Linked DNA regions of Stegostoma tigrinum. The protein of the gene in region 1 purifies or fractionates together with the protein of each later gene. This does not show direct contact. Links are inferred from orthologs where the notes say so. Each region holds a gene or a part of one and is shown on either strand. Other genes may lie near its edges.

What was found.
Region 2: the proteins of max (region 1) and lethal(3)malignant brain tumor-like protein 2 purify together in Homo sapiens (affinity purification with mass spectrometry; 6 studies listed by BioGRID and IntAct, with this or other methods). This does not show direct contact. The link is inferred for Stegostoma tigrinum from reciprocal best matches to the Homo sapiens genes MAX and L3MBTL2.
Region 3: the proteins of max (region 1) and sin3aa purify together in Homo sapiens (affinity purification with mass spectrometry; 3 studies listed by BioGRID and IntAct, with this or other methods). This does not show direct contact. The link is inferred for Stegostoma tigrinum from reciprocal best matches to the Homo sapiens genes MAX and SIN3A.
Region 4: the proteins of max (region 1) and chromobox protein homolog 3-like purify together in Homo sapiens (affinity purification with mass spectrometry; 3 studies listed by BioGRID and IntAct, with this or other methods). This does not show direct contact. The link is inferred for Stegostoma tigrinum from reciprocal best matches to the Homo sapiens genes MAX and CBX3.

Annotation. Positions count from the first base shown.
Region 1 is NC_081363.1:71,192,941-71,199,959, reverse strand, and holds the start of max (protein max), read right to left. Parts: upstream 3,017-7,019; 5' UTR 2,809-3,016; coding exon 2,773-2,808; intron 2,494-2,772; coding exon 2,467-2,493; intron 1-2,466. UniProt on the Homo sapiens protein: Transcription regulator. Forms a sequence-specific DNA-binding protein complex with MYC or MAD which recognizes the core sequence 5'-CAC[GA]TG-3'. The MYC:MAX complex is a transcriptional activator, whereas the MAD:MAX complex is a repressor.
Region 2 is NC_081391.1:5,934,435-5,941,409, forward strand, and holds the start of lethal(3)malignant brain tumor-like protein 2, read right to left. Parts: upstream 3,027-6,975; 5' UTR 2,942-3,026; intron 1-2,941. UniProt on the Homo sapiens protein: Putative Polycomb group (PcG) protein. PcG proteins maintain the transcriptionally repressive state of genes, probably via a modification of chromatin, rendering it heritably changed in its expressibility.
Region 3 is NC_081389.1:4,646,724-4,653,600, forward strand, and holds the start of sin3aa (SIN3 transcription regulator family member Aa), read left to right. Parts: upstream 1-3,853; 5' UTR 3,854-3,895; intron 3,896-4,207; exon of another isoform or gene 4,208-4,311; intron 4,312-4,628; exon of another isoform or gene 4,629-4,775; intron 4,776-5,640; exon of another isoform or gene 5,641-5,938; intron 5,939-6,877. UniProt on the Homo sapiens protein: Acts as a transcriptional repressor. Corepressor for REST. Interacts with MXI1 to repress MYC responsive genes and antagonize MYC oncogenic activities. Also interacts with MXD1-MAX heterodimers to repress transcription by tethering SIN3A to DNA.
Region 4 is NC_081355.1:56,506,231-56,513,351, forward strand, and holds the start of chromobox protein homolog 3-like, read left to right. Parts: upstream 1-4,097; 5' UTR 4,098-4,226; intron 4,227-4,240; exon of another isoform or gene 4,241-4,399; intron 4,400-4,410; exon of another isoform or gene 4,411-4,722; intron 4,723-5,035; exon of another isoform or gene 5,036-5,056; intron 5,057-5,089; exon of another isoform or gene 5,090-5,442; intron 5,443-5,606; 5' UTR 5,607-5,636; coding exon 5,637-5,688; intron 5,689-7,121. Other genes in the region: heterogeneous nuclear ribonucleoproteins A2/B1-like, read right to left, coding at 3,498-3,503.

The DNA.
Region 1 (7,019 bases):
TCATGTACACACATCATTTAGGAAAAATAACCGCAGATAACCAAGTACAAGTCTGACTTCACATTCCTTCCTTCAAACTCCTGAATGTGCCTCACCAAATTAGATAATTAGTGAAAAGGACATATACCGCATTCCACAAGATAAAAAAACAGTCGCAATCATCTTGAGGCAACTTTGCACATCTGCTTGTAATGTCAGCTCTAACATTATCAGGTGAGGCACACTGAATAACACCTCAAAAACAGTGCCGAAAAATTGGAGCAAATTCTATACAAAAAATTTCCATAGTTTAATTTCTTACCAAACTACCATATTACACAGGAAGTTAAAGCTTGGAGCCACAGGTGACTATTGCCATGTATTAGCCTGACCAGTTAGGAATAGTGCAATTGTGAGAAAGCATTGGCAAACCAAATACTCTTTTTTTTTTGCAAATTTTGGGCAACAATCAATGCTTGCAGATTTCTTGCTGAAATAACAGATAATTATCTGGCTTGCAAACAAAACTGTGTTGCAACTGAAACTCCCACAAACTGGAAAACTGGTTAACTGCATTTTTCTGATAGATTTTGTTCAAAGTATTGGAACTTAATAAACAGTTAGGAATTTACCCAATAAACACATCTGGGATTTGCATTAAAAAAAGCAATTTTACTGAATTTCAAATGTAAAAAAAGTGAGAGGAGCACCTGCAATTAATTTACAGTCCAACAGCAACACACATACATTAGATTTAGTGCCCCTGCAGTGCTTCCCTCCAAAACCTGCACAGCTAGGAAGTCTACAAGCACAAAAACAAGTTGCTAAATACATTTAGTCCCTAATAATCATTCTATTCTCAGTGATGTTATTCATAACATCTGTAAGGCTCATCCTCATTTATCTTCCACAGGTCAAGAACTATGTGCCTATTTTTTTCTTTACTGAATGTTGGTTTCAATTAAGAAGGTAACTCAATTGTGGTCAAGGTAATAATTGGTAATATTTGTGTCATCATTCTGTTTAAAAAGTCTCACCTCAACACTAAATGTTGGAGGTCAGTCAAATAGGTCACAGATTCCTCCACAACTTTCAGGGCCATTGTTGCTCTGTGCTTACTTCACAGGAGACAAATAGAGGAATCTAAGTGTCACCTATTGAGGCAATACATTCTAGGTGCCCTGTAATGGACAATAAACAAAAATGTCTGGGCCTAAGGATCTGAATGTCAACCAAATATTAGGGTTTCAGCCCACCAGTGGAGTATTTGGCATCCTGGCTGCTCATCACAAGAAAAGTAAAATTTCTCACGGGATCCTAAAAACTTATACTTTCAATTTTTTTAAAATATTTAAATATGGCACATAACTAAGTGTTCAGTTGGCTTTTTAAAGGCATCATTCTACCTGATCAATGATTACACACACACTTCCTGGAGTCCATTTTGTGTTATGCATACAACCAAAAAAAACCCGTACAAGTATCTTAACTATTTACATTTTGTTATTAATAGGCGGAGAGAGGGGAAAAAAAAGTTTCTCGAAAACGACGAATAAGAATTGCTTTCAGCAGCCGGTCGTCCGAAGCCGCTGTATCAAACACGTTTACACATCTACAAAAGAGGAAGGGAGGGAGAAAAACAGCTCACGACGAATGTGTTAAATGCTCCCATTAGTGCAGGTTTCCGATGGATCGGACACACTTTCACGCGAAACGCGAAGATTGGGTGAATCAGGGGAAAAGAAGAGGGATAAAAAAAACATACTGGAACAAAAAAGATAAGATGCCAGCGATTTCGAGCGAATCTATTTGTTTGGCTTCAGTACAAGAGTGGAATGGATGTAAATAGGACGCGCTGAGGCTTGTGGGCAAAATGAATTGTTTTTGAAAACATTGCACAGGGAAAGGGGAAGGAATGAAAATCTCCAAAAGTGAAACGAAGATAGAAAATCGGCAAGCAAGAGATGGAGGAGAAGAATTCCTAAGACAGCGAGGGTTAAGGAACCACATTAAAGGGCATTCTGCACGACTGGGCTACTGGGCCTTTTGTAATGTCTCTAACCTAGACACTATCTATCACTCAAGCTCTAAACGCCTTGAGCTGGCCATTTGACCAGACTCAGGCGACGGGCGGGAATCGATTTTTTTAAAATATACAAACATCAGCAGTAAAGTTAAGTTTCGGGACATCTTACTTTAAAAATAAAGGTTGCAATAATATTCTGAAAAGGTAATCCAAATAAAAGAGGGAGGATACTGGGACAGCAGCTTGAAGCCACATCCCCAGCAACTATCAGGTTAAAAATAATAATCCAGGCTTTTAAGATTAATTTGATTTGTTTTTTCTTTGATTACACGAAGTAAATTACGTTTAGGGGATGGTAAAATAAGTTTAAAGATTATTTAAGTATATAAATAAGATTTATTTTTTTTTAAAGAAAAATCAAGGCGACGAGACGGGGTCTATGTTAATCCTCCGTTACGTACCGCTGTCTGAAACCTCGGCTGTTCTTCCTGAAAAACAGACAAGTGCACAAAATGATCACACAGCCGGAGAGTTGGCGCTTTACAAAAAAAATCGACAGAAAGAGAGAGAGAGAGAGAAAAGGGGGAAAATCCGTAACTACAGAGAAAAAAGGGGAAAAATTATTTTTTTTTCACAATCAGGTGGAAACAACTCCCAACACGTTAAAAACGTTTTATTATTATTTTCGAAACACAAACGAAACTGAAAAATCAAGCAAAATTTCGAAACAAAAATAACAATAATAGAAGGCACCAGGCGAGACTTACGTCGCTTTCGACCTCGATGTCATCGTTATCGCTCATGCTTTTTTTTAATTTAAAAATAAACCCAAAAAAAAAGAGATCGCAAAAACGGAAATTAAACTTTCACAGAAATAGTAAATTAATGTCAGAACGTACACAAAACAAAAACAAAACACACAACTGTGAAGGGAGAAACCAACAGCAAAAATCACTCGTGACTCCGGGAGCAGCTCCGCCCGACAGGCCACGGCTCCCCTACATCAACCTCGCCCCCACTGCGCATGGGCGGCTGGGCTGGTGCCGCTGGGGGATGTAGTACCTTTCACAATTGGCGTCCACTATCCGCTCTGGGCGCCTGGACTACCTTTCCCATAATCCCCGGCCCCACCACCGACTGAGTTCCACCCGTCAGCTGGATGGAAGAGGTAATGGGAACTGCAGATGCTGGAGAATCCAAGATAACAAAGTGTGGAGCTGGATGAACACAGCAGGCCAAGCAGCATCTCAGGAGCACAAAAGCTCCTGAGATGCTGCTTGGCCTGCTGTGTTCATCCAGCTCCCCACTTAGCTGGATGGGAGAGATGGCCGGAAGTCGTCCGACCACCCTTGGACGCGGGGCACGACGGGAATTGTAGTTCCCCTCACCCCTCCCTGTTTCCCGGCCGACTCTTCCTGAGAGTTATAGCGGCCGAAAGGAGGAGGGCAACATGGCAGTGGGGAAAGTACGTGGAGAGAGTAGGATGTTTGACTTGGCAACGGGCAAAACAATTTTCTTCGGACTCAGAGTGAAGATGAAAGCACCCACACAAAGCGATATTGTGTGGATGTCCAAATTCCTTTGCATCTACAACTTTATTTCACAAACAATTCGTATGAGACGATGTTAGAATATCTAAAGTTTACAGGTTATCTCGTTGAGTCACAATGTTACCAGCTCTTTGATGACCAACTCCCTCACCAGAGATAGTAGGAACTGCAGATACTGGAGAATCTGAGATAACAACTTAATAAGGATCCTCATAAGAGGTTAGTGGGCTAAGTTAAAACACATGCTATGGGTCAATATATTGGCATGGATTCCAGATTGGTAGACAGACAGGAAATAGAATGAGGGTAAATGGGTCTTTTCTCAAATAGATGACAGTGGCTAGAAGGTTATCACAAAGATCAGTGCTTAACCGTCAGCTATTTGCAATATACATAAATACCCAGGGCCAGGTACAATGTTTTTAAGTTTGCTGACATCACAAAGCTTGGTAAGATTTGTGAAGAAGATGCAAAAAGGCTTCAAGTTAAACAAGTTTAAACAAGTTAAGTGATCAAAACACTGCCAAATGCATTACAATGTGGCTAAATGTATACACAAAGTATACACTTTGGTGTGAAAAACAGAAAGGAAGAGTATAAAGTAAATTGTGGTACATTTCCTGGTACAACAGGAAGTTGATGTGCTGGAAATTTTGGCAAACACTAAGATTGATAAGTCCCCAGGGCCAGACCAGATTTATCCTAGGTTGCTCCGGGAAGGGAGAAAGGAGGTTGCTAAGCTGCTGGCGAAGATCTTTGCTTCCTCACTCTCCACGGGAGTCGTACCGGAAGATTGGAGGGAGGCAAATGTTGTTCCTCTTTTCAAGAAAGGGAATAGGGAAATCCCTGGAAATTATAGACCAGTCAGTCTTACGTCTGTGGTCAGCAAGGTTTTGGAAAGAACTCTGAGGGATAGGATTTATGACTATTGGAAAAGCATAGCGTGATTAAAGGGAGTCAGCATGGCTTTGTGAGGGGCAGGCCATGCCTTACAAATCTTGAGTTCTTGGAGAAAGTCATGAGACAGGTTGACGAGGGTCGAGCAGTGGATGTGGTGTGCATGGACTTCAGCAAGGCATTTGGTAAGGTTCCCCACAGCAGGCTCATTCATAAAGTCAGGAGGTCTGGGATACAGGGTGATTTGGCTGTCTGGATTCAGAATTGGTTGGCTGACAGGAGGCAGAGAGTGGTTGTAGATGGTAAATATTCTGCCAGGAGATCAGTGCTGAGTGGTGTCCCACAGGGCTCTGTTCTTGGGCCTCTGCTCTTTGTAGTTTTTATAAATGACTTGGATGAGGAGGTTGAGAGGTGGGTTAGTATGTTTGCTGATGACACAAAGGTTGGAGGTGCCGTTAGTAGTATCGAGGGCTATTGCAGGCTTCAGCGCGACATTGACAGAATGCAGAGCTGTGCTGAGAAATGGCAGATGGAGTTCAACCTGGATAAATGTGAGGTGATGCATTTTGGAAGGTCGAACTTAAATGCTGAATATAGAATTAAAGGCACGATTCTCAGCAGTGTGGAGGAACAGTGGGATCTTGGTGTTCAAGTGCATAGCTCCCTCAAAGTTGCCACCCAGGTGGATAAGGTTGTTCAGAAAGCATATGGTGTTTTGGCTTTCATTAACAGGGGGATCGAGTTTAAGAGCTGCCAGCTCCAAAACCCTGGTGAGACCACATTTGGAATATTGTGTCCAGTTCTGGTCGCCCTATTATAGGAAGGATGTGGAGGCTTTGGAGAGGGTGCAAAGGAGGTTTGCCAGGATGCTGCCTGGACTGGAGGTCTTGTCTTACGAGGAGAGGTTGACTGAGCTCAGACTTTTCTCTCTGGAGAGAAGGAGGAAGAGAGGTGACCTGATCGAGGTGTACAAGGTAATGAGAGGCATGGATAGAGTCGATAGCCAGAGACTTTTCCCCAGGGCAGGATTGACTGCCATGAGGGGTCATAGTTTTAAGGTGTTAGGAGGAAGGTATAGAGGAGACGTCAGAGGGAGGTTCTTCACCCAGAGAGTTGTGAGCGCATGGAATAGTTTACCAGTGGTAGTCTTGGAAGCGGAGTCATTAGTGACATTTAAGCAACTGCTGGACATGCACATGGACAGCAGTGAATTGAGGGGAATGTAGGTTAGGCTATTTTAGTTTTGGATTAGGAATATTCCACGCCACAACATTGTGGGCTAAAGGGCCTGTACTGTGCTGTACTTTTCTATGTTCTAAGGTGTAGAGCTGGATGAACACAGCAGGCCGAGTAGCATCAGAGGAATAGGAAGGCTGACGCTTCGGGCCTAGACCCTTCTTCAGAAATCACACATCCCTCACTTCAAGTCTTTGTCGAATCGCTCGAACATGCCTTAGAAACTCTCAGGATCAATCTCCACAGGTTGTCCCACAGGGAGAGAATATATCCATTTCGTTCTGCTTCTTTAAGGCTTTGGGACTTGATGTGTGATGTAGCTTGATGTAGAAGGCGTGAACTTTCTGAATAATTGGGAGCAATAATGCTAATACTGTGACATTTTAAGGAGCGTTTTGGAGTGATCTTTGGAACTGTGTGAGTTGTCCGTTTAAGAGTTAAAGAACAGGACCAAGATGGGTTATATGTTTGTTGGCCATTTGAATGGTGTGCAGTTCATCAAAGATAACAAAGTGTGGAGCTGGATGAACACAGCAAGCCAAGCAGCATCTCAGGAGCACAAAAGCTGACGTTTCAGGCCTAGACCCTTCATCAGAGAGGGGGACGGGGAGAGGGAACTGGAATAATTAGGGAGAGGGGGGAGGCGGACTGAAGATGGAGAGAAAAGAAGATATGTGGTGAGGAGGTAGGGAGGGGATAGGTCAGTCCAGGGAAGACGGACAGGTCAAGGAGGCGGGATGAGGTGGTAAGTAGGAAATGGAGGTGCGGCATGAGGTGGGAGGGAAGGGATGGGTGAGAGGAAGAACAGGTTAGGGAAGTGGAGACAGGCTGGGCTGGTTTTGTGATGCAGTGGGCGAAGGGGACGAGCTGGGCTGCTTTTGTGATGCAGTGGGGGAAGGGGAAATTTTGAAGCTTGTGAAGTCCACATTGATACCGTTGGACTGCAGGGTTCCCAAGCGGAATATGAGTTGCTGTTCTTGCAACTTTCGGGTGGCGTCATTGTGGCACTGCAGGAGGCCCATGATGGACATGTCGTCTGAGGAATGGGAGGGGGAGTTAAAATGGTTCGCGACTGGGAGGTGCAGTTGTTTGTTGCGAACCGAGCGGAGGTGTTCTGCAAAGCAGTCCTCAAGACTCCACTTGGTTTCCCCAATGTAGAGGAAGCCACACCGGGTACAATGGATACAATATACCACATTGGCAGATGTGCAGGTGAACATCTACTTAATATGGAAGGTCATCTTGGGGCCTGGGATAGGGGTGAGGGAGGAGGAGTGGGGGCAAGTGTAGCACTTCTTGCGGTTGCAGAGGAAGGTGCCGGGTGTGGTGGG
Region 2 (6,975 bases), on another chromosome or scaffold:
AGATGTAATGGTATTACAGTTAAATAAAGGTAATTACAGGGGCATGAGAGAAGAATTGACAAAAATCGACTGGAAGCAGAGCCTAGCAGGGAAGACAGTAGCGCAACAATGGCATGAGTTTCTGGGTGTAATTGAGGACACAGTACAGAGGTTCACCCCAAAGAAAAGAAAGATTATCTGGGGTAGGATTAGACAGTCATGGCTGACAAAAGGAAGTCAGGAAATGTATCAAAGTAAAAGAGACAGCCTATAAAGTGGCCAAGAGCACTGGGAAATCAGAAGATTGGGAAGGCTACAAAAACAAACAGAGGATAACAAAGAGAGCAATAAAGAAGGAGAGGATCAAATATGAAGGTAGGCTAGCCAGTAATATTAGAAATGATAGTAAAAGTTTCTTTCAATACATAAGAAACAAACAAGAAGCAAAAGTAGACATTGGGCCGCTCCAGACTGATGCTGGAAGGCTAGTGATGGGAGATAAGGAAATAGCTGAAGAACTTAAGTACTTTGTGTCAGTATTCACAGTGAAAGACACGAGTAGTGTGCCAACAATTAAGGAGAGTCGGGGGGGCAGAGTTGAGTATGGTAGGCATTACAAAAGAGAGAGTGCTAGAAAAGCTAAAAGGTCTAAAAATTGATAAATCTCTTGGCTCTGATGGGCTACATCCTAGAGTCTGAGGGAGGTGGCTGAGAAAATAGCGGAGGCTTTGGTTATGATCTTTCAAAAGTCACTGGAGTCATTGGAAAATCATTGTAACCCCCTTGTTAAAGAAAGGATCAAGGCAAAAGATAGAAAATTGTAGGCCAATTAGCCTCACGTCAGTCGTTGGTAAAATTCTAGAATCCGTCATTAAGGATGAGATTTCTAAATTCTTGGAAGTGCCGGGTCAGATTAGAACAAGTCAACATGGATTCAGTAAGGGGAGGTCGTGCCTGACAAACCTGTTAGAATTCTTTGAAGAGGTAACAAGTAGGTTAGACCAGGGAAACCCAGTGGATGTTATCTATCTAGACTTTCAAAAAGCCTTTGACCAGGTGCCTCACAGGAGGCTGCTGAGTAAGGTGAGGGCCCATTGTGTTTGAGTGTGGTCCAGGAAATGGCTGATGAAATTCAACGTGAGCAAATGTGAGGTCCTGCACTTTGGAAAAAAGAATACAGGCATGGACTATTTTCTAAATGGTGAGAACATTCATAAAGCTGAAGTACAAAGGGATCTGGGAGTGTTAGTCCAGGATTCTCTAAAGGTTAACTTGCAGGTAGAGTCTGTGATTAAGAAAGCGAATGTAATGTTGTCACTTATCTCAACAGGGTTGGAATATAAAAGCAGCGATGCGCTTCTGAAACTTTATAAAGCCCTAGTTAGGCCCCATTTAGAATAACATGTCCAATTTTGGGCCCCACACTTCAGGAAGGACATAATGGCGCTGCAGTGTGTCCAGTGGAGATTCACACGGATAATCCCTGGAATGGTAGGTTTAACGTATGATGAACGGCTAAGGATCCTGGGATTGTATTCATTACAGTTGAGAAGGTTGAGAAGAGATCTAATAGAATCTTACAAGATAATGCATGGCTTAGAAAGAGTGGATGCTGGGAAGTTGTTTCCATTAGGCAGGGAGACTAAGACCCGCAGGCACAGCCTTAGAATTAGAGGGGGTAAATTTAGAACGGAAATGAGGAGACATTTCTTCAGCCAGAGTGCTGGGCCTATGGAATTCATTGCCACAGAGCGCAGTGGAAGCCGGGATGTTAAACATCTTCAAGACAGAAACTGATAAATTCTTGATCTTGCAAGGAATTAAGGGCCACAGAGAGAGTGCAGGGAAGTGGAGTTAAAATGTCCATCAGCCATGATTAAATGGCGGAGTGGACTCGATGGGCCAAATGGCCTTACTTCAACTCCTATGTCTTATGGTCTGTTTCCATGCTGTACAACTCAAGGACCGTACATGGCAGCCTCTGTGGGAGAGAAATTGGAAGCTGACATTGGGGGCAGCACCATGGCTAGCATTGCTGCCTCACAGCACCAGAAACCAGAGTTCAATTCCATCCTTGGGCAACTGGGTGGAGTTTGGACATTCTCTCCATGTCTGCTTGGATTTCCTCTGGGTGCTCCTGTTTCCTCCTACAGTCCAAAGTAGTGCAGGTTAGGCAAATTAACTATACTAAAAATTACCCATGGAATATGCAGACCTACAGGCATAGGGTTGGGAATGTCAGTCCAGGTAGCAAGTTCTTTGGAGGGTCAGTGTGGACTTGATGAGCCAAACTGCCTGCTTCCACACTGAAGGGATTCTATTAAAAAAAAACTACAGATGTTGGAATTCTGAAACAAAAAAAAACAGAGAAACTCAACAGGGTTGGCAACATAGGGGCAGAAAGCAGGCAGCAAAGTTCTGAATCCAGTAACCCTTTTTCAGAAGGGTTATACAGCAATTTCTGCATTGGTTTCAGGGTAAATTAGACAATGTGTTGCAATCATAGTTCACTGTTACTCATTGAAAACAAACGCCAGGGACTGCAGACCTAAGATTACTAAACAGTGCAGCATCTGATAACATTGTAACGAGACGGATGCTTTGTCTTGAACCTGTAGATCGAACCCTGACAGCACAGACTTTTAGCAACATTTTAAAAAAACTCCAAGATTATCACTCACGTGGATATCACAGCCTTAGCAACAATGTCTCTCTGTTTACTTGCAAATTTTACTAACTGGAAACAAATTGGCAAGAAGGGAAAACATTAAAAACACACAAACCCTAGTTTCTACAATTTGTGGTTGAGGTATCATCGACTTCAAAAACAGCTTCATTTGTCTGAAGCAGCTGGACTTTTAGTCATTACTCATCCTAAAGCTCACCTCATAAATTGCACAAACTGTCTTATTTATAATTAATTCAGCACACTTTCTTTCAAACAAAAACACAAAAGACTCACAATCTTGTTCCTCCTCTTTGTGCAACTTGATGTTCGAATTCAGGTACACAACGCCGCCATTTCAGGCCGGATCATTTCCTTTAACGTGCTCGCTCATTGGAGGGGGCCGCAACCCCCGTCAACCAATGGAAAGAACAATAGCAGGGTAGGCGCTACCGAGCACTCTGGGAGATGTAGTCCATCAGCATGAATGGACAATTTTTAACCCTCACAGATAATTGCAGGCAGTGTAGGTTTTCCACCGCAAATTAAATTATCCAATGTTTTTCTACTCCAAACTAAATTATCCAATGTCCTGAAATAGCCATTTTCTGCTCCAAGCTAAATTATTCAATGTTTTGAAATAGCCATTTTCTACTACAGACTCAATTATCCAATGCTTTGAATTAACCATTTTCCACTGTAAACTAAAGTATCAAGTGTTTTGAGTAAGCCAACATAAAAATACATGGCAATGCAAATTTCATGCCAAAAAGATTTGAATAATCACACATTCAGAGTTCACATTGAAATGATTAAGATTCTGTAAGGGCTCGATTGAGTTGAGTCTGAGATTGTCTACACTGGTCTTGGAAGTAATAAAATACAGAAGCACAGTCTCAGGTTAAGGGGCCAATCATTTAGGACTGAGATGAAGAGAAATTAATTCACTGAACGGTTATCAATCTTTGAATTCCCTACTCAGATGGATGCAGAAACTATTGTTGAATGTATTTAAGGCTGGGATAACAGTTTTTGGTGTCTCAGGGAACAAGGTCTCTGGGGCATGGATTGGAGAGTGAAGTTGAAGCCCAATATCAGCCATGATTGTAATGAATGCTGAAAAAGGCTCAACAGGCTGAATGGTCTCTTCTGAACATCTAACTTAATAATTTTGAATGATATGCAGCACCTACTGATTAAAAGCAAGCAGGACTAGACTCAATGTTGAGTTTTCCTCAGTACATAATTTATTTGCAGAAAGTGGACCTGTATAACTTTCTTCTTTAATTAATTATTCACAGTAGTTTATTGTGTAGTCAGGGTTAGGGGATGTCTATAAGTATCCCATAATACACTGCACGGATCCATGTATTTTTCATGCAAGAGTTCTTTACTCACAGGAAAATCTGTACATGCATCAGAGGCTGTAACTGTTGTTACATCAGCAACACTTCAGCTTTGATGTTAACACCATGACTACAGTTATGGATACTGTTTGCTACCCAAGGTACAGACAATGTGGTATATACCCTTGAGAAGGTGGTGGTGAGTCGCTTTCTGCAGTCCAGGTGATGCAGATACACCCACAATACAGAACAAGGTCTCTGGGGTGTGGATTGGAGAGTGAAGTTGAAGCCCAATATCAGCCAAATTATGTACAGAATTGCAGAAATTTGACCTAGCAACAAGGAACAGTGGTATCAATCCAAGTCAAGGGCCCTGCAGTGATTTATTTTGGCTGAGATGGTTGACCTCTAAAAAGCTGCTAATTTGTGTTCAGCAGGTGTCCAGGATGACGACACAAATCCAAGGCATAAGAGTTGGCTTGGCTTGTAAGGACAGTCTGCAAGAGCCCACCCAACATGTCTGATTACACATCAGCACTTACTAACTCAGCACCATCCCCTACAACTGCCCTTCCCTTACCAACCCTCAACATCAGCAACTTACACCACCCAACCCCCCCAACACCTCCAACAAACCCCAACTCCAGGCATATTGTTCCCTGATGTGAATGTGTCCTCTATCCCTTTCCTGAGAGTTGGCCACCCTAGTAAAGGGCAAGTTGCTGCAGTGCATCTTGTAGATGGCACACACTGCTGCCACTGAGTTTCAGTGGTGAAAGGAATGATTGCTGAAGGTGGTGGCTAGGGTGCCAATCAAGTAGGCTCCTTTATCCTTGATGTTGTTGAGTTTCATGGTTGCCCGATTGCTGAATACATTTCAGACAGAGGACTATAAACAACCTGGCAGTCAGACTTTGTCAGGGGCAGGGAGAAAAGTGGAATTGCGGTCACAGTCAGATCAGCCATAAATCTTAGCAAATCACATTCAGGCTCGAGGGGCTGAATGGCCTGCTCCTGCACCTAATTCATAAGTTCTTGTCCAGTTGGAAGCCAAGCGGACAGCATTCCATAACATTGCTAACTTATCCCTTGCAGATGGTGGGCAGACTTTGGGGAGTCACTCACTGCATGATTCCCTGTCCTTGGTTGGCTCTTATAGTTACAGTGATAATGGGAACTGCAGATGCTGGAGAATCCAAGATAATAAAGTGTGAAGCTGGATGAACACAGCAGGCCAAGCAGCATCTCAGGAGCACAAAAGCTGACGTTTCGGGCCTAGACCCATCATCAGAGAGGGGGATGGGGTGAGGGTTCTGGAATAAATAGGGAGAGAGGGGGAGGCGGACTGAAGATGGAGAGAAAAGAAGATAGGTGGAGAGGAGAGTATAGGTGGGGAGGTAGGGAGGGGATAGGTCAGTCCAAGGAGGACGGACAGGTCAAGGAGGTGGGATGAGGTTAGTAGGTAGGAGATGGAGGTGCGGCTTGGGTTGGGAGGATGGGATGGGTGAGAGGAAGAACAGGTTAGGCAGGCAGAGACAGGTTGGACTGGTTTTGGGATGCAGTGGGTGGAGGGGAAGAGCTGGGCTGGTTTTGGGATGCGGTGGGGGAAGGGGAGATTTTGAAACTGGTGAAGTCCACATTGATTCCATTGGGCTGCAGGGTTCCCAAGCGGAATATGAGTTGCTATTCCTGCAACCTTCAGGTGGCATTATTGTGGCACTGCAGGAGGCCCATGATGGACACATCATCTAAAGAATGGGAGGGGGAGTTGAAATGGTTCGCGATTGGGAGGGCAGTTGTTTATTGAGAACCGAGCGGAGGTGTTCTGCAAAGCGGTCCCCAAGCCTCTGCTTGGTTTCCCCAATGTAGTGGAAGCCACACCGGGTACAATGGATACAGTATACCACATTGGCAGATGTGCAGGTGAACCTCTGCTTAATATGAAAAGTCATCTTGGGGCCTGGGATAGGGGTGAGGGAGGAGGTGTGGGGGCAAGTGTAGCATTTCCTGCAGTTGCAGGGGAAGGTGCCGGGTGTGCTGGGGTTGGAGGGCAGTGTGGAGCGAACAAGGGAGTCATGGAGAGAGTGGTCTCTCTGGAAAGCACACAAGGGTGGGGATGGAAAAATGTCTCGGGTGGTGGGGTCGGATTGTAGATGGCGGAGGATGATGCGTTGTATCCGGAGGTTGGTAGGGTGGTATGTGAGAACGAGGGGGATCCTCTTTGGGCGGTTGTGGCGGGGGCGGGGTGTGAGGATGTGTTGCCGGAGACACTGTCAAGGACGTTCTCGACCACTGTGAGGGGAAAGTTGCAGTCCTCGAAAAACTTGGACATCTGGGATGTGCGGGAGTTACGGTAATTTTTATGCCTGTTTCGGTTCAGTTAAAAGTCAATGGTAACCCGAAGGACGTTGACAGTGGTGTTGAATGTCAAAGGGAGATAGTTGGAGTCTCTCTTGTTGAAAATGGTCATTGCCTTACACTTGTGTGACACAGACCTCGCTTGCCTTTTAACAACTCAAACCTAGATCTTGTTGACATCATGCCACACTTGGATGTGGATTGCTTCAGTCTCTGAGAACTCGTGAATGGTGCCGAACGTCATGCAATCATCGGCAAACATCCCACTTCTGACTTTGCAATGGAGGGAAAGTCATCGATGAAGCAGCTGGAGGTGATTGGGCCTAGGACACCACCCTGAGGAACTCCTGCAGAGACATCCTGGAGTTGGAAAAGATTGCCCTCCAACAACTACGACCATCTTCCTTTAATTTAATTGTGTGGGAAATGGTGGGGTTCTATTTTAATCGTTTATGGGGTGTGAGTGTTTCACACAAGATCAGCATTTGTTGCCCTTTCTTAATAACCTACAAACTCAGAGGCTTGCTCGATCACTCCAGAGGAGATGTCCATGACATATCTGAGGTCCTGGAACCATACATAGGTTGATGAGATAAAGACAGCAGATTAATCTTCCTTCTCAATGAA
Region 3 (6,877 bases), on another chromosome or scaffold:
CAAGAACAGCTTCTTCCCCACTGTTACTGGATTTCTAAATGGACCTCTCAAAGTTTACATTTAATGCTCACTATCTGTGCACCTTCTCCGCACCCATAACGTTGTATTCTTCATTGTGTTCTATTGCACTTTGTATGGTATGAGCTGCCTGTACTATACAGAAAACAAAACTTTTCACTGTACCTATGTGACAATAATAAATCAACTCAAATCAAAATAGTACACATATACGCCAAACCATCCTCAAAGGGCATTCAAGAACTAGATGGATTTTTAACAATCATAGATGGTAGTTTCATGGTCACTCTTAGTGAGACTGGCTTTGTTCTAGCAAAGAGATGGGATTTAAACCTGCATCCCAAATGCATTAACTGTGTTCTTCAAACTCAAATTAGTCCAGGCATATTGCCACTGGACCCATTTCTCCCCTAAGTGAGTTGGTACTTTTAATTTATTAAAATATCCCAAAGTGCTGGATAGGAGAGTTATAAGAAAATTGACATTGAGCTATATCAGACCAGATGGCCCAAAGCTTGGTCTGTGCAAGGCCCTAAGGATTATCTTATGAGGAGACCCAAATAGAAAGGTTTAAGGAGAAAATCCAAGAGCTTAGATTCCAGACTACAAATTGTAAACCAGAAATGCTTGGAGGCCAGGATTAGATAAACACATATCTCGGGGAGTTTCAGAATTAGAGATGGGATGAAGGAGAGGTGATGGCGGGATTAAGAAACAAGGGCATGAATTTTAAAACCAAAACGCAACGTTATGGGTAAATGGAACTTGGTGAGTTATTTATGTCGCTGATGATTATTAACTATTGTAGTTAATTTTCTTTATTCAATTTCATTTTTGATGCAGGCCTTTGGATCACATCGTTCTCCCCACAACCTGTATTTCATTGTTGTTTCCCAAACAAGTCATAGTGGCTGCATTGAGCTCATTTATTCACTCTGGTCCTGTGATCCTGCTCACTCCTGATCATTAAAACAGATCACAAGTGGTCTGCCCCAATTGATCCCATTCGCAGCATTGGACTGAGACACTGTAATGAACCCATTAGCTTGGATTAGACTATAAGACCATAAAATGTAGCCGAATCCAAGTAGTTTGGGACTGTGGGGCTGAGGAGAAAAGGTTGGAGGTTACAAAGATAGGAAAGATGGGAGAATAACACGGGCTTTTGTGGAATTAGTAATTGTTTCCAATCATGCCATAGGCTGCAGAGAACATGTCCGCGAGGAATTTGGTAACACCCAGACAATTCTGTTTTTAAAACAGAATATTCCTTAGAGAATTATTTACTTTTTCTTCCGGTTTATTTTAATTTTATACTGAATTTTTACATTTTTAGTTGGAAATACAGTTCAACTTGTCAGTCGAAGCAACCACTTGGACTCATTCAAAAGCTTTACTTACTTAGATTTACATTTACACTCCACTGTTAAGATAATGAAGCATGCTAAAGTGCTTTTATACATGCAAGGCACATGTAACTTTGAAATACAGAACTTCCTTGTCTGATTACTAGTTTCCAACCATCTCCACGGCAACAACAATCATGTATATTTATACAGCATCTTTAAAAATAATTAAACATTATAAAATTATTAAACTAAATACGACACTGTGTCACATATTACGTCAGGTGGCCAAAAGCTTGGTCAAAGAGCCGATTTTGAGAAGTGTCTTTTTAAATTTATTTACAATAAATTTACCACAAATTTATTGAGGATGTCACTGGCAAGACCAACATTTTGTTGACCAATCCTATTTTCCCTTTAACTGCTTGGCCTGCTGGGCCATTTCAGAGGGCAGTTGAATCAACCCTTGGGACTGGAGTCACATGCACACCAGAGCAGGTAAGGACAGCAGTTTCCTTCCCTAAAGGACATTTGTGAACCCTATATGTTTGTACAACAATGGTAGTTTGATGGCCACTGTTACTGAAAATAACATGTTCCAAATTTACTCATTGACATTAAATTCCACCAGCTCCCATGATGGGATTTTAAACCCATGTCCCTGTTGGCCAAGGCTCCTGGCTTACTTGCCCCATGATGTTTGTTCTATGTTCCCACTACAACCCTTAAAAGTGGAAAACAAGATATGGAAGTGTGCTTCTTTAGAGAGGGCATTCCAGAGCTTTTGGTCCAGGAAGCTGAAGCTGGGGCCTCCAATAGTGGAGAAATTAACATTAGGAATGTTTGGGATTGCATAACCAGATTGTTTCGCCTGAAAAGTGGAATGTGATTCATCTATGGAGATGATTTGTATGACTGGGAAGAGGAAGACATTGCATTTTTGCACCTCGTGTTAAGACCAATAATTGCCTGTAGTCCAGGTCAGCTGAAACATGAGCTGAGTCAGGGAAAATCCTGCTGCACACACTCCAACCCTGAGTAGATTGTGCATAGTGACATTCCTATATACCAAAGTAGGCTGGAAATGAGACATGGGCACGAGGACAGATTAGTAGTTAAAGTGTGACAGCCAGTGCACTCAGGTGTAGTAGTCTGTAGGATTCCTGTCTCTAGGATTACATACTAACATATGTGCCCAAAATCCAGAGTAGAAATGGGCCATTTTCCAAGGTGACTTAAGCGGGTAACACTTCAGCTTCAGATGGGCATGGTTACCAGTCTCACTCCAGAAACTGGACCTCACACTGACATTCAAAAGCAGTACTGAGGGAGTGCTGCACCATCAGGGGTAGCAATAAATCAGGGCTCAGTCTGTGCTTTGAGTTGGATGGCAGTGATCCAATCACTGTTTCAAAGAACAATGATGTTCTCCAATATCTTATGAAATAGAAGCAAGAGCAGGCCATTTGGCCCTTCAAGCCTCCTCCACTAGTCAAATAAAACCATGGCTGACTTGATTGTGACCTCAACTCCAATCCTAATCCTGTGCTTTCTCAACTCCCTTGTCTATCAAAGGTCTGCCTAACACACTGACAGAAAATCCCACACACTATTGACTCTCAAGAAATTCCTCCTCATCTGCCTTAAACAGGAGACTCCTTATTTTGAAACTGTGTCCCCTAGTTCTCAATGACTCTATGAGAGAAAACATATCTGCAGAATTTTATATTTCAGTAAAATCAGATTCTTCCAAATTCAAATGTGTATCGGCCCAAAAGACCCACCATTCTTGGAAGACTAATGCTGTCATGCCCGGAAGCAGTCAAGCAAACTTTCTCTGAATTGCCTCCAATGCATGTATTCCCCAGATATTCGAGATGAAAACTTTTTTGCTCGGCCTGCTGTGTTCATCCAGCTCTACACCTTGTTATCACAGCACAGCAGACTATTTTTGTCTTTCTATCTCTGTAACATATGTATTGTGGAAAACGCTCATTTGTCCTGCATTGGTAGAATTTTGTCTACTTCAAAGGCACAGCATATGTGTCCGAATCAAACGACTATGGGTTCGACCGAGTCTCATTGCAGTAGGTACGGGCCAGTTATTGACTGCAGCACCGACATGAATGGGTCAGGGGCTCACTTAGCAGCCGATGGGAGCATGCTGTGCGCAAATTAGAGACGGGGCTTCCTAACACGACCACAAGAGGCCGTGAACATTGTGTTCGGTGGAGAGGCGGATTTTGAGATTTCTTCTTGAAATTGACATCTGCAATGCATCGGAAGGAAGAAGCTCCCGAATGCGGCCAGGCAGGGTCCCCGCCCCCGATGAGTAGGGAGGGCTGAGGGTGATGGGATGAAGGAAACTTCAGTCTCTCGGAGTCAGACAGTTGTTGGCGGGGTTGAGTTTAAAGCAGTGACGCTCTATCAGTCCCCTCCCTCCCCGGGGCCTATGTTAATGAGAGGGGGTGTATCCATTCTCGGTTTGCCTGTGAGAGCGGAGGGGAGGGAGAGCAGCTGGGAGTTTGTGGGTGAGCGAACCCTCCGATTCTCTGTGTTGTTTGTAGATGCTTTCCTTTTCTGAATGGTTTTTCTTCTGTTTTGCACAAGGGGTACGGGCTGGAGGAAGGAAAGAGTCCGTTCACTTGGAGGGGGGTGAAGAGGGGAGTGTGTGTGTGTGTGTGTGTGTGTGTGTGTGTGTGTGAGTGTGAGTGAGAGAGAGAATGTGTGTGCGCTTAGGAAGGGGGTGGGGGAAGAGCTCCCCGGCCTTGGCGAGTGCTTCCTGAGCCTGGGGAAGGGCTGGGTTTGGGGCGGCTGCTGCTGCGAGCCAGGGGCAACGTTCGACTTCACCCGCTATCCCCCTGGGGAAGGGGGAGAAAAACACACCGTGCTCCTGAAGCCACCCCCGCCCCCCCAAACCGGGGCTGCCTCTTCTCGGGGAGGGAAGGTGAGGAGAGGGCGGTGTTGCTCTCACTCTCTCTGGCCATCAGCTTACTATTTATAATCTGCTCGGTGGGGAGTAGCGGCACGGAGAGAGCGGGGCTGCCCGCTCTCGTGTAGCTGGAGAGGGGAGCGAGGCGGAAGGGAAGCTGCGCAGTCTACGGGCCATTTTGTTGTGTCGGATTCTCGGAGCCGCTTTGTGGGGAGGGGAGGGGACGGGAGGGACTTGATCGGATTAGGCTCCACCTCCCCTTGTGCCTTCAGACACCCCCACACTCCTCCCGTGCTGGAGAGCCGCTTCCATCATTCTCCCCGCGCATACCCTCTCCACTCCCTCACCCCCAGCGGGAGTGTCTCCGATCCCGGAATGTGTAACAAAAGCCTGTCGCAACTTTCTGGGTCGTGGAACCAGCCTTCCACCGGCCTCAGCTCCCGGGGACGGACAATGAGGAAGAGAAGCGGCGGGGAGAGGTGACCGGAGGGGGGGGGGGGCGGCGGGGGTGGTGTATGATGTTTCATTCGTTCCCGGCCCCATACTGCCGCCACCACCACCTTCCCCGACTGTGTGCACCCTGGCAGTTAAACACCACTACCACCACCACCACCTTCTCCTTGGGTAGCGAATCTCTTCCTACCCGCCCCCACTGCCATGGGTTAGCACATCCACAGGCAGCAACCAGTCGTCGTTGTCGTCGTCCTCCTCCTCCTCCCCGCGACTCCGGGGTCTGCGGCCTCCTGGCTCGCTCCCACACAGTAAACACGGTATAGCCCCGCCCCCAGATCACTGGCCCCGCCTCGTACTTCCTATTGGTAACTACCGACTGTCGCCGCCTTCCCATTCCTGATTGGTTGGTACTATAAGGAGCTGATTGGCTCCTGCCCCCCTCGGATGCGTCACAATGGAGGTTCACATAACGGGGCGGGGATTCCCTCACGCGCGGAATGGGATTGTAACAAAGAGACAGGGAATTCCCACCCGGAATTACTCTCTCCGGTGGAGAGCCCAACGGTGGAGTCACCCTCGTCGGGGTTTGGGGGGCAGAGAAGGAAGGAAGCCAGGAGGAATCCTGCTTGCTATAACCCTCACCTGAATCAGTCAACCCTGGGGAACTGGGGCAGGAGTCCTGCCCGGAGTCCCCCTCTCCCGCGGGGAAAGACAAACGAGGACTTTCCCCCTGGAATTAATCTCACCCTGGAGGAAGGGGTGGGGTGGAGAAAGAGAGACCTGCCCGCTGTCACACTCTCGCGGGGAAGAGACGGATCCACCCAGCGTCACCCGGGGATATTGGATTTCCTCCTGCTCGGAGTCACTCACTGGGTTTCCCGCTCCTCTGAAACTTAAATGACAGCAATGAATCCAGTTCCTTCCAGCTTCCAACCTGAAACCTTCAGGAAAGAAAGAGGAAGCCGAATGCCCTAGTTGAGTCACCCCGGGGAGCCACTGCTGTATTTTGGGTACCGAACTCCTAAACGCGAAGGGCCGCGTGGATTCGGCGAATTTTGAAGCGTCCTGGTTCTTATCACAAATTCAAGAGTGAAAACACTACCCACCAATGAAAAGCTCCAGGGCCAGTGTTGACTGTATCGAGTTCGGGGCGAGCAAGGGGTGGAGCCCAGACTTTATTGACCCAATTGTAATCATCCTTCAATCTTATTTATACTCTGGTGTTCTGTGCCCCTCCAAAAACAGTGAATTCAGCGATCTTACGGTGTTTATCGAACTTTCGACCTACAGGCGATGAATAATATTTACTATTAGTGGTAGCAGAGAGGTTGAACAGTTAGAAGATTCGAAGCTGCTGAGCCGTCTAGGTCTCCTGAGAAAGGAAATCGACTTTTACTTTTTTTAAAAAAAGTGCACGAACACCGCACTGGGCCCGACTCCATATTTTAAACTCAAAAAATACCCTCCCGCTTGCTAACTTGGTTCTTCATTCCCTAAGGGCTTGAATCATAAATTTGTAAACACGTTAACAAATCAAAACACAAATAGCCTTACATAAAGAAGGTCTGGCAGTCTCCATGGAGAAACAACGTAAAGGTTTCGAGTCCAATCTGACGCTGCTTGAGAAGTGACCTTGTTTGGGAATTGCAAGCTAGGGGGAGGGCACCTTGCAAAGTTCAATGCTGTTGAAGCTACTGTCTTGTTTTAATCGTTCATAATTTCTCGAATGCTATTCGTTAAGTTCGGGGACGTGGGCCGCTTTCGCACACAACCAACTGCTTAATATTAAAATATTTTAAAATACGAGATTAGATTTAAGAAACTGTTCGGACTCAAAGTATGTATTCCTAGTTTGGTTGGAAGGGTTTTTGAACCTGCTTCTTGGCAACATAAATAATAGTAATACGGTTCTGTTGGTTTATCGTTCCTCGACTTACTCACTAGACGTTAACTTTTGCAGTGAGCAAGTGCCCCTTCGGTGAATTTAATATTTTAAAATTGACTTTTAATTAAATATGCAGCTTTTGAGCAATCTGGGTAAAGAAAGGATTTAGGTCAGCACTGATTCTCTCAATCTCATGCCACTAAAACAAAAACTGACTTGAAAGCACAGTCACACAGCATGGAA
Region 4 (7,121 bases), on another chromosome or scaffold:
TCTAAGAACACAGACCTCTCCTTCAATTATCTGTGCAGCAAACTGCTTCCTTGACATGCCGTTCTGGATGCATTTTAATTGTCTGAAATCAAAAAGATTCCAGAAGAAGTTGTGAAGCCCAAAGCCAACAATCCTTGGCCCCTGCCAAAAATTCAAGAACCTCACCAACTTATCCACCACACTTCCTATTTAACACCAAACTGAACTTTCATCCTCTATAATACTGGATACTTTCACCTATGTACTGCCCTGCTCCATTCTGATAAGATTCCAGCTTTGACCTCAATACTCCAGGAACATGCATTATTTCTCACACAGTATATAAATGTAACCTGTTACTGTTGATAATCAAGTATATATTTTTTTTTAATTCACACATGGATTAAAATTACATAAACCTGGGTTCCAAGGGATGTTACTGTTATGCCTGTGGGCTATCATACACCACGTTAGCATTAGTGAATTATCCCATTCCGTAAATAGCATACATTTGCCTTCTTCAGAATCATCTTCACCTTTCACATCTGCAGATTGCTGCAAAATGACCCCTCTGCCCAAAATATGAAGGGACCCAATGCTCACACTCTCCCTTTGTCTGCAAGAGCTGCAACACAGCTCCCATCCTTATTCTCAGGGCCACAAATACACTTGCAGCTTAATATGCAGTATCCTCCATAGGACAAGTGCAAAATAGACAAGCTCTTTACAAACATCTATGAAGAAGCATTTGCATTTATGCCACGCTATTCAAGACCACCGGGTCTCCCAAAGTGCCTTAGTCAAAGTTGATAGCCAGAGACTATTTCCCAGGGCAGAAATGGCTAGCACGAGGGGTCATAGTTTTAAGCTGGTTGGTGGAAAGTATAGAGGGGATGTCAGAGGCGGGTTCTTTACACAGAGAGTTGTGAGAGCATGGAATGCGTTGCCAGCAGCAGTTGTGGAAGCAAGGTCATTGGGGTCATTTAAGAGACTGCTGGACATGCATATGGACACAGAAATTTGAGGGTGCATACATGAGGATCAATGGTCGGCACAACATTGTGGGCTGAAGGGCCTGTTCTGTGCTGTACTGTTCTATGTTCTATGTTCTATTTGAAGTGTAGATCCTGTTGTAATGCAGGAAATTTGATAGCCAACTTACAGGCAAAGTTCTCAACATGTGATGACAACCAGATAGAACAGTACAGCACAGAACAGGCCCTTCAGCCCACGATGTCGTGCCGACCATTGATCCTCATGTATGCACCCTCAAATTTCTGTGACCATATGCATGTCCAGCAGTCTCTTAAATGACCCCAATGACCTTGCTTCCACAACTGCTGCTGGCAACGCATTCCACGCTCTCACAACTCTGTGTAAAGAACTTGCGTCTGACATCCCCTCTATACTTTCCTCCAACCAGCTTAAAACTATGACCCTTCGTGTTAGCCATTTCTGCCCTGGGAAATAGTCTCTGGCTATCAACTCTATCTATGCCTCTCGTTATACCTCAATTAGGTCCCCTCTCCTCCTTTTCTCCAATGAAAAAAAGTCCGAGCTCAGTCAACCTCTCTTCATAAGCCCTCCAGTAGAGGCAGCATCCTGGTAAACCTCCTCTGAACACTCTCCAAAGCATCCACATCTTTCCTATAATAGGGCGACCAGAACTGGACGCAGTATTCCAAGTGCAGTCTAACCAAAGTTTTATAGAGCTGCAACAAGATCTCACGACTCTTAAACTGAATCCCCCGTTAATGAAAGCCAAAACACCACATGCTTCCTTAACAACCCTGTCCACTTGGGTGGCCATTTTAAGGGATCTATGTATCTGCACACCAAGATCCCTCTGTTCCTCTACACTGCCAAGAATCCTATCCTTAATCCTGTACTCAGCTTTCAAATTCAACCTTCCAAAATGCATCACCTCACATTTATCCAGGTTGAACTCCATCTGCCACCTCTCAGCCCATCTCTGCATCCTGTCAATGTCCCGCTGCAGCCTACAACAGCCCTCTATACTGTCAACGACACCTCCGACCTTTGTGTCGTCTGCAAACTTGCTGACCCATCCTCCAAGTCATTAATAAGAATTACAAACAGTAGAGACCCAAGGACAGAGCCCTGTGGAACACCACTCACCACTGACTTACAGGCAGAATATTTTCCTTCTACTACCACTCGCTGTCTTCTGTTGGCCAGCCAATTCTGTATCCAGACAGCTAAGTTCCCCTGTATCCCATTCCTCCTTACCTTCTGAATGAGCCTACCATGGGAAACCTTATCAAATGCCTTGCTGAAGTCCATATACACCACATCCACATGTTTGTGATTTTGACAAAGAACGTATATTAACCAGGAGTAATTCTATGGTTGTCTCTCAAGAAAATACCCCACTTTATTTTCAAACATCTGACAGGACAGCCAGCACCTATTTAACATCACATTAAAAAAAGTGGTATCTCTGGCAGGTTAAGACTCCCCGCTGGAGCATCAGCCTGATGTGATGCACACAAGCCCTATAAATAGGACTTAAAGCCAGACCTGGGATTCCAAAGCAGGCATGTAAAATGCAACTCATTAAATACACAAATTTCTACTTTTGGTCTTCTATACAGTTCAATGTAACAAGATTAAGAGAACAGTGTTGTAATTCTACACACCTCAGCCCTCTGGCCACGGGGATTTACAACTTCAGTAGGAACTGCTGCTCATGTAGGGTGAATGTTGTCAGCACTTCTCAGGCATCAGTGAGAAGTGCATCATGGAGGCTTACAGTTGATGCAAAAACCCTCCAAACTACTGTTTTTGCACACCCCCCCCCCCCCAAATCTCCTGCAGTTTATTCTCTCTTGGTAGGTTTTTCTGATGCTTTTTAATCCAATCTATCTCAAGTCATCTTCCCCCAAGACGTTTCTGAAATCACCTTTCCTATACAAAAGAACCAATTTACCCACTTTACCTGTCACCTTCCAGGAAGGCTTTTTAGTCTCTACAATGATTCAGAACTGCATAAAACACTAAGTGCTCATTCTATAATTGCCTTCAGCAACTCCCCTGCAAAGACAAGTGTGTGTGTGCTGAATTTTTTTGGTATTGAAAAGATTCAAACCTTCTAGATGGTATAGTAAACGTAACGCAAATATGGAACGTTTGAGATTACCGTTTATTAAAAAATCGGGTTCAATCCTGAAATGTTAGTGAACATTCAAACTTCTCAAGAAGCAAGACAAGTCTCTCTTTAGATATCAACGGACGAGTTGACATAAAAAAACTGCTGTAAAATATCGAGAAAGACCCGAGAAGCGCAATATCCCCCATATATTTCACCTACACTCGACTCCTGCTTCCCAGTAGCAACGGTAAAGCCCGCAAACAGGCTGCGATTACCCACCATTTTCGGCGCGGCATCCCCATTTGCTTCTATCACCATAGGATCTCAAATCAAACCTTTCAAAATTGTACACTGAAAAAAATACGCTACGCCACCCTCCCCAACCCTCATTTTTTCTATCCCTTACCTCCATCCTGCTCGAAAAAATAATTTTTAAATAAAAATGCTATACTTCAACTCAAGCGCTTCGTAAACAACGCTATATCGATAAAAAATTGCGTTATATCTAAAGAAAAACGAGTAAACAGACAAGCTGTGACGCACAGCCTCCTCGACACAGCCACCACCGTCGCCGCTCAATTTTCTAGAACCTTCTCTCAGTCCTACAAAATGGCCGTTCGTTAGTCACGTGACGCCAAGTTGCCAACGGCAAATTTGGTGACGAAACCGGACGAGGATCGAAAAAGATTTTCCGAAAATAAAAGAAAATTTGTTTATAGTACAGATCTGAAAAATTATTTTTAAAAGAAGTATCACCCTTAATTGAACACACTAATTAAGCCTCAGGGGCTTCTAAGGGAAAAAGTCGAAACAGCTTCGGGTATGACGCAATTTAGAAATCGAATTTTTAAGTATATCGCAGACATTTTTGTTTCGTGGGACATTATCGTTTTTTCAGTCAATATTCGGTTGAATAGTTCAATACAATCTGCCAAAATAATTTCCTAAAAGTGATTCTTGGTCACGTGACGGGCGGGTGGGCTGGCTCCGAAATGATTAGTGTTTCGATAAGGACTGTATTTTTTTTATTTAAAAGATCTAGGTTTGGTTCTGTGCCTCGTAGGCGTGTACTCGTGAATAGTTTATGTTAAGTTATTCGATAAATTTTGGAAAACGGAGGGAGTGCTGGTTGGAGGTGTGCGCAAGCGCGTTGTGTCAGCGCGTGTTTTGGCGGGACCGAGTGAACCTCAGAGAGGGAGAGGGAGAGGGGGAAAAGAGAGAGGAAAAAAAAGTGGAAAAGAAAAATAGAGAGACAGAGGGCGGGCAGTCCGGACAGCCAGCGGAGCACATCAGGACTGAATTGGGCAGGTAGGGCAGGCAGCAGCTAGTGCGCCAGCTAGCCAGCCGATCAGTGCTTCACTCTTACTTCCATCCGCTGACTCGTAGTGAGCGCGGAGTGCGGGCCTGGTAGCACTGCAGAGCCGCTCGAGAGCAATCAACCAACAAGCTGATTTTTTTTTTAAAACTTCCATCTCAATCGAGTCGGGTACACCAAAATTATCTAGGCCCAAACTCCTGGCCAGTGGCGGGAGCGAACGGAAGTCCGTGTAACAATCCAAGGAGGCCGTGGTTCATTTGTTTTGGTCGTGAAGGTTTCTAGGACTTGTGAACTCTCTGCCTGCCCCTGTCGGGTGGGTGGCGAGGTCGGGTTTCAACCTGTAAACTGGGGGGAAATGCACCTTCTTTGATTCATAGACCTAAGAGATTGACATAAACTTTTGTTAACAATTGCCTTGGATTTTATCTTCTGTCGCTGTTCCTGCGCCGGTTATTTATTTAAGGTTGAGGTAATGAGTTAAAAGGTAGTTTAAATGAGACTCCAATTCCTTAATGTGCGGAAGTCTTTGTGTTTTAATACTGTAAATATCGGTGTTTAGTTATCAGTTTGTAACTGGCATTTTTTTGTGATTTAATAGGATCCTTGTATGTGGAAATTCAGGACTTGAACCTTAGCATTCTTACGAAGTGCGCATTCTTTATTTTTCATTATGAAACGATTCTTTGCTACTGTCGCATTTTTTTAGTCTGGTCGTTGTGGTATGAGGAGGGGGTTGGAAACTAGGAAGATGTAAAATGGTGACCTAGTGTTCCTTAATGTTAGATGTTTTATATATGTTAGATAATTTTGAATTCAAAGAGTAAGAGTAGTTTAATGTTCTTGGTTTTTTTTATTGCTGTACTTTAACTTTTTAAAATCTGGCTTAGAAGTTTGTTTTTTTAAAACAATTGGGATTATTAGATAGAAGTCTGTAATTTGAATCAAATGCTACACAAGAGCAAGTAATTACATTGGAATTGGTTTGTATTTTTGCTTTTGGAATGTTTATGTTCATATGACTGATCATGATTAGGTTGGTATAACCTTTGCCATCTTGCACTATGTATCCCTTTTCTATTTAAACGTATTTCTAATTTAAACACATTTTCAAATAGTTACTATCATGTTTACTCCAAAATGTAATGTTTGAAATGCTGACTTTATACATGTGAGCAATTGCTGATTATTCTTTCCTAGGGGCTTGAGTAGGCGGATACAAAGTAGAAGATGACCACGGTTGAAGATTCCTTTTTTTCTCCTATTAGCCTTGTTTCTACTAGTGAGTTAATCCATGTTTACAAATAATAAAAAGAAAATGCATCATGTTATATCCCATTTACAGTATTTAGCCATTTGACCATATTTAAATTAACAAATTAAAATTTGTTCATATACTCCTAGGCCCCAAACAATGAAAATCTGAGTTCCTGTTGTGGTCCCAGGTGTGCCATTCTGACTTCAGAATGAGGTTAACAATTTATCTTGGGACACAGACTTTTCAACACACAATTGACACTCTTCAGCAGATAGTTATTGTGCCACTTGTGATGTTGGAGTTGATTAAAAGAGTTACAAAATGGCAGATTTTTATAATTGTGAATTAAGGATCTGCTGAAATCAAACAAAAAAAAACTTCAAATTCTCATAGTCAGCAGCTGGATAAGGACCCTGCATAGAGCTAGTAAGTGGGGAATATCATGGATGTGTTCAGTGGAGCTAGGAAAAAAATGCTCATTTATATATTAGATTTGTTATTGGAACCTAAATATGCTAAATATCCTTGCAGTAATGTGTCTAACAAAAACATCTTGTGAAATATTTGTCTGAAGTTGCAAGCTTCTGCAAATATGCTCTCCTAACTTCTATCTTGACAGTAAAGCAACTTCTGCAATGTGGTGGTACGTTACAGTTTACTCCATGCTTGGGTTGTTACGATAAAATGCACTCCTGTGTGCATTTTGTAGTTTGGAGGTGTGAATGATAGGCACATGATGGTAGCGGCTCCAAAGTTCTTTCCATTACAGGGCTGACGAGGAGTCTTTCCCATTCTAACTGCTTGTTGGTGTATGCTGCTGGGATTTAAGCAAGTAATGCTGCTAATGTCCCAAAGGACCATAAAGCTGCTCCCTCATTAGAGAAAGGTGACTGATAGGTGACTTTAGCTTGGGTCACTATGTATTCGTGACCTTAACCATTGTGGAAATTGAACGAAGATGGTGTTGTTCTCTATCACATATCAGCCATCCAACCAAGTGAGCTAACATACTCTCTGGAGAAATTTACAGGGTGACATTCAATCTGTTTGGCCATTTTATGATTATTCCTTTCTTAGTCATTTAAGTTCTGGTGGGATCATTGAAGCTAGGATTTCTAGCCTAGAGGCAGAAATGCCACCCATTCCACCATGTTTACCTCCTTTGAAAGCTGTACCTAGTTTTGGACTGAATTCAGCAGTGAAACTCTTCTCCACTTGCCCATTTTACTTTTGTACCGTGAAGTTCTAAACTGTAGTCAAAAAAATGTCATTGTGAATAATGGAAATCTGAAATTTAGATCTGCGTATTTTATAAGTTGTTTGTTTCGCAGCAAGATTACTTTAAATCCCTTCTACCCAAGTATGGCCAATACTAAAAACAAAAGTTTGCTACTGTAATTTCATAAAATGTGAATGATACAATTGAATGATTATACTTGGCTATGGAATCAACTGTT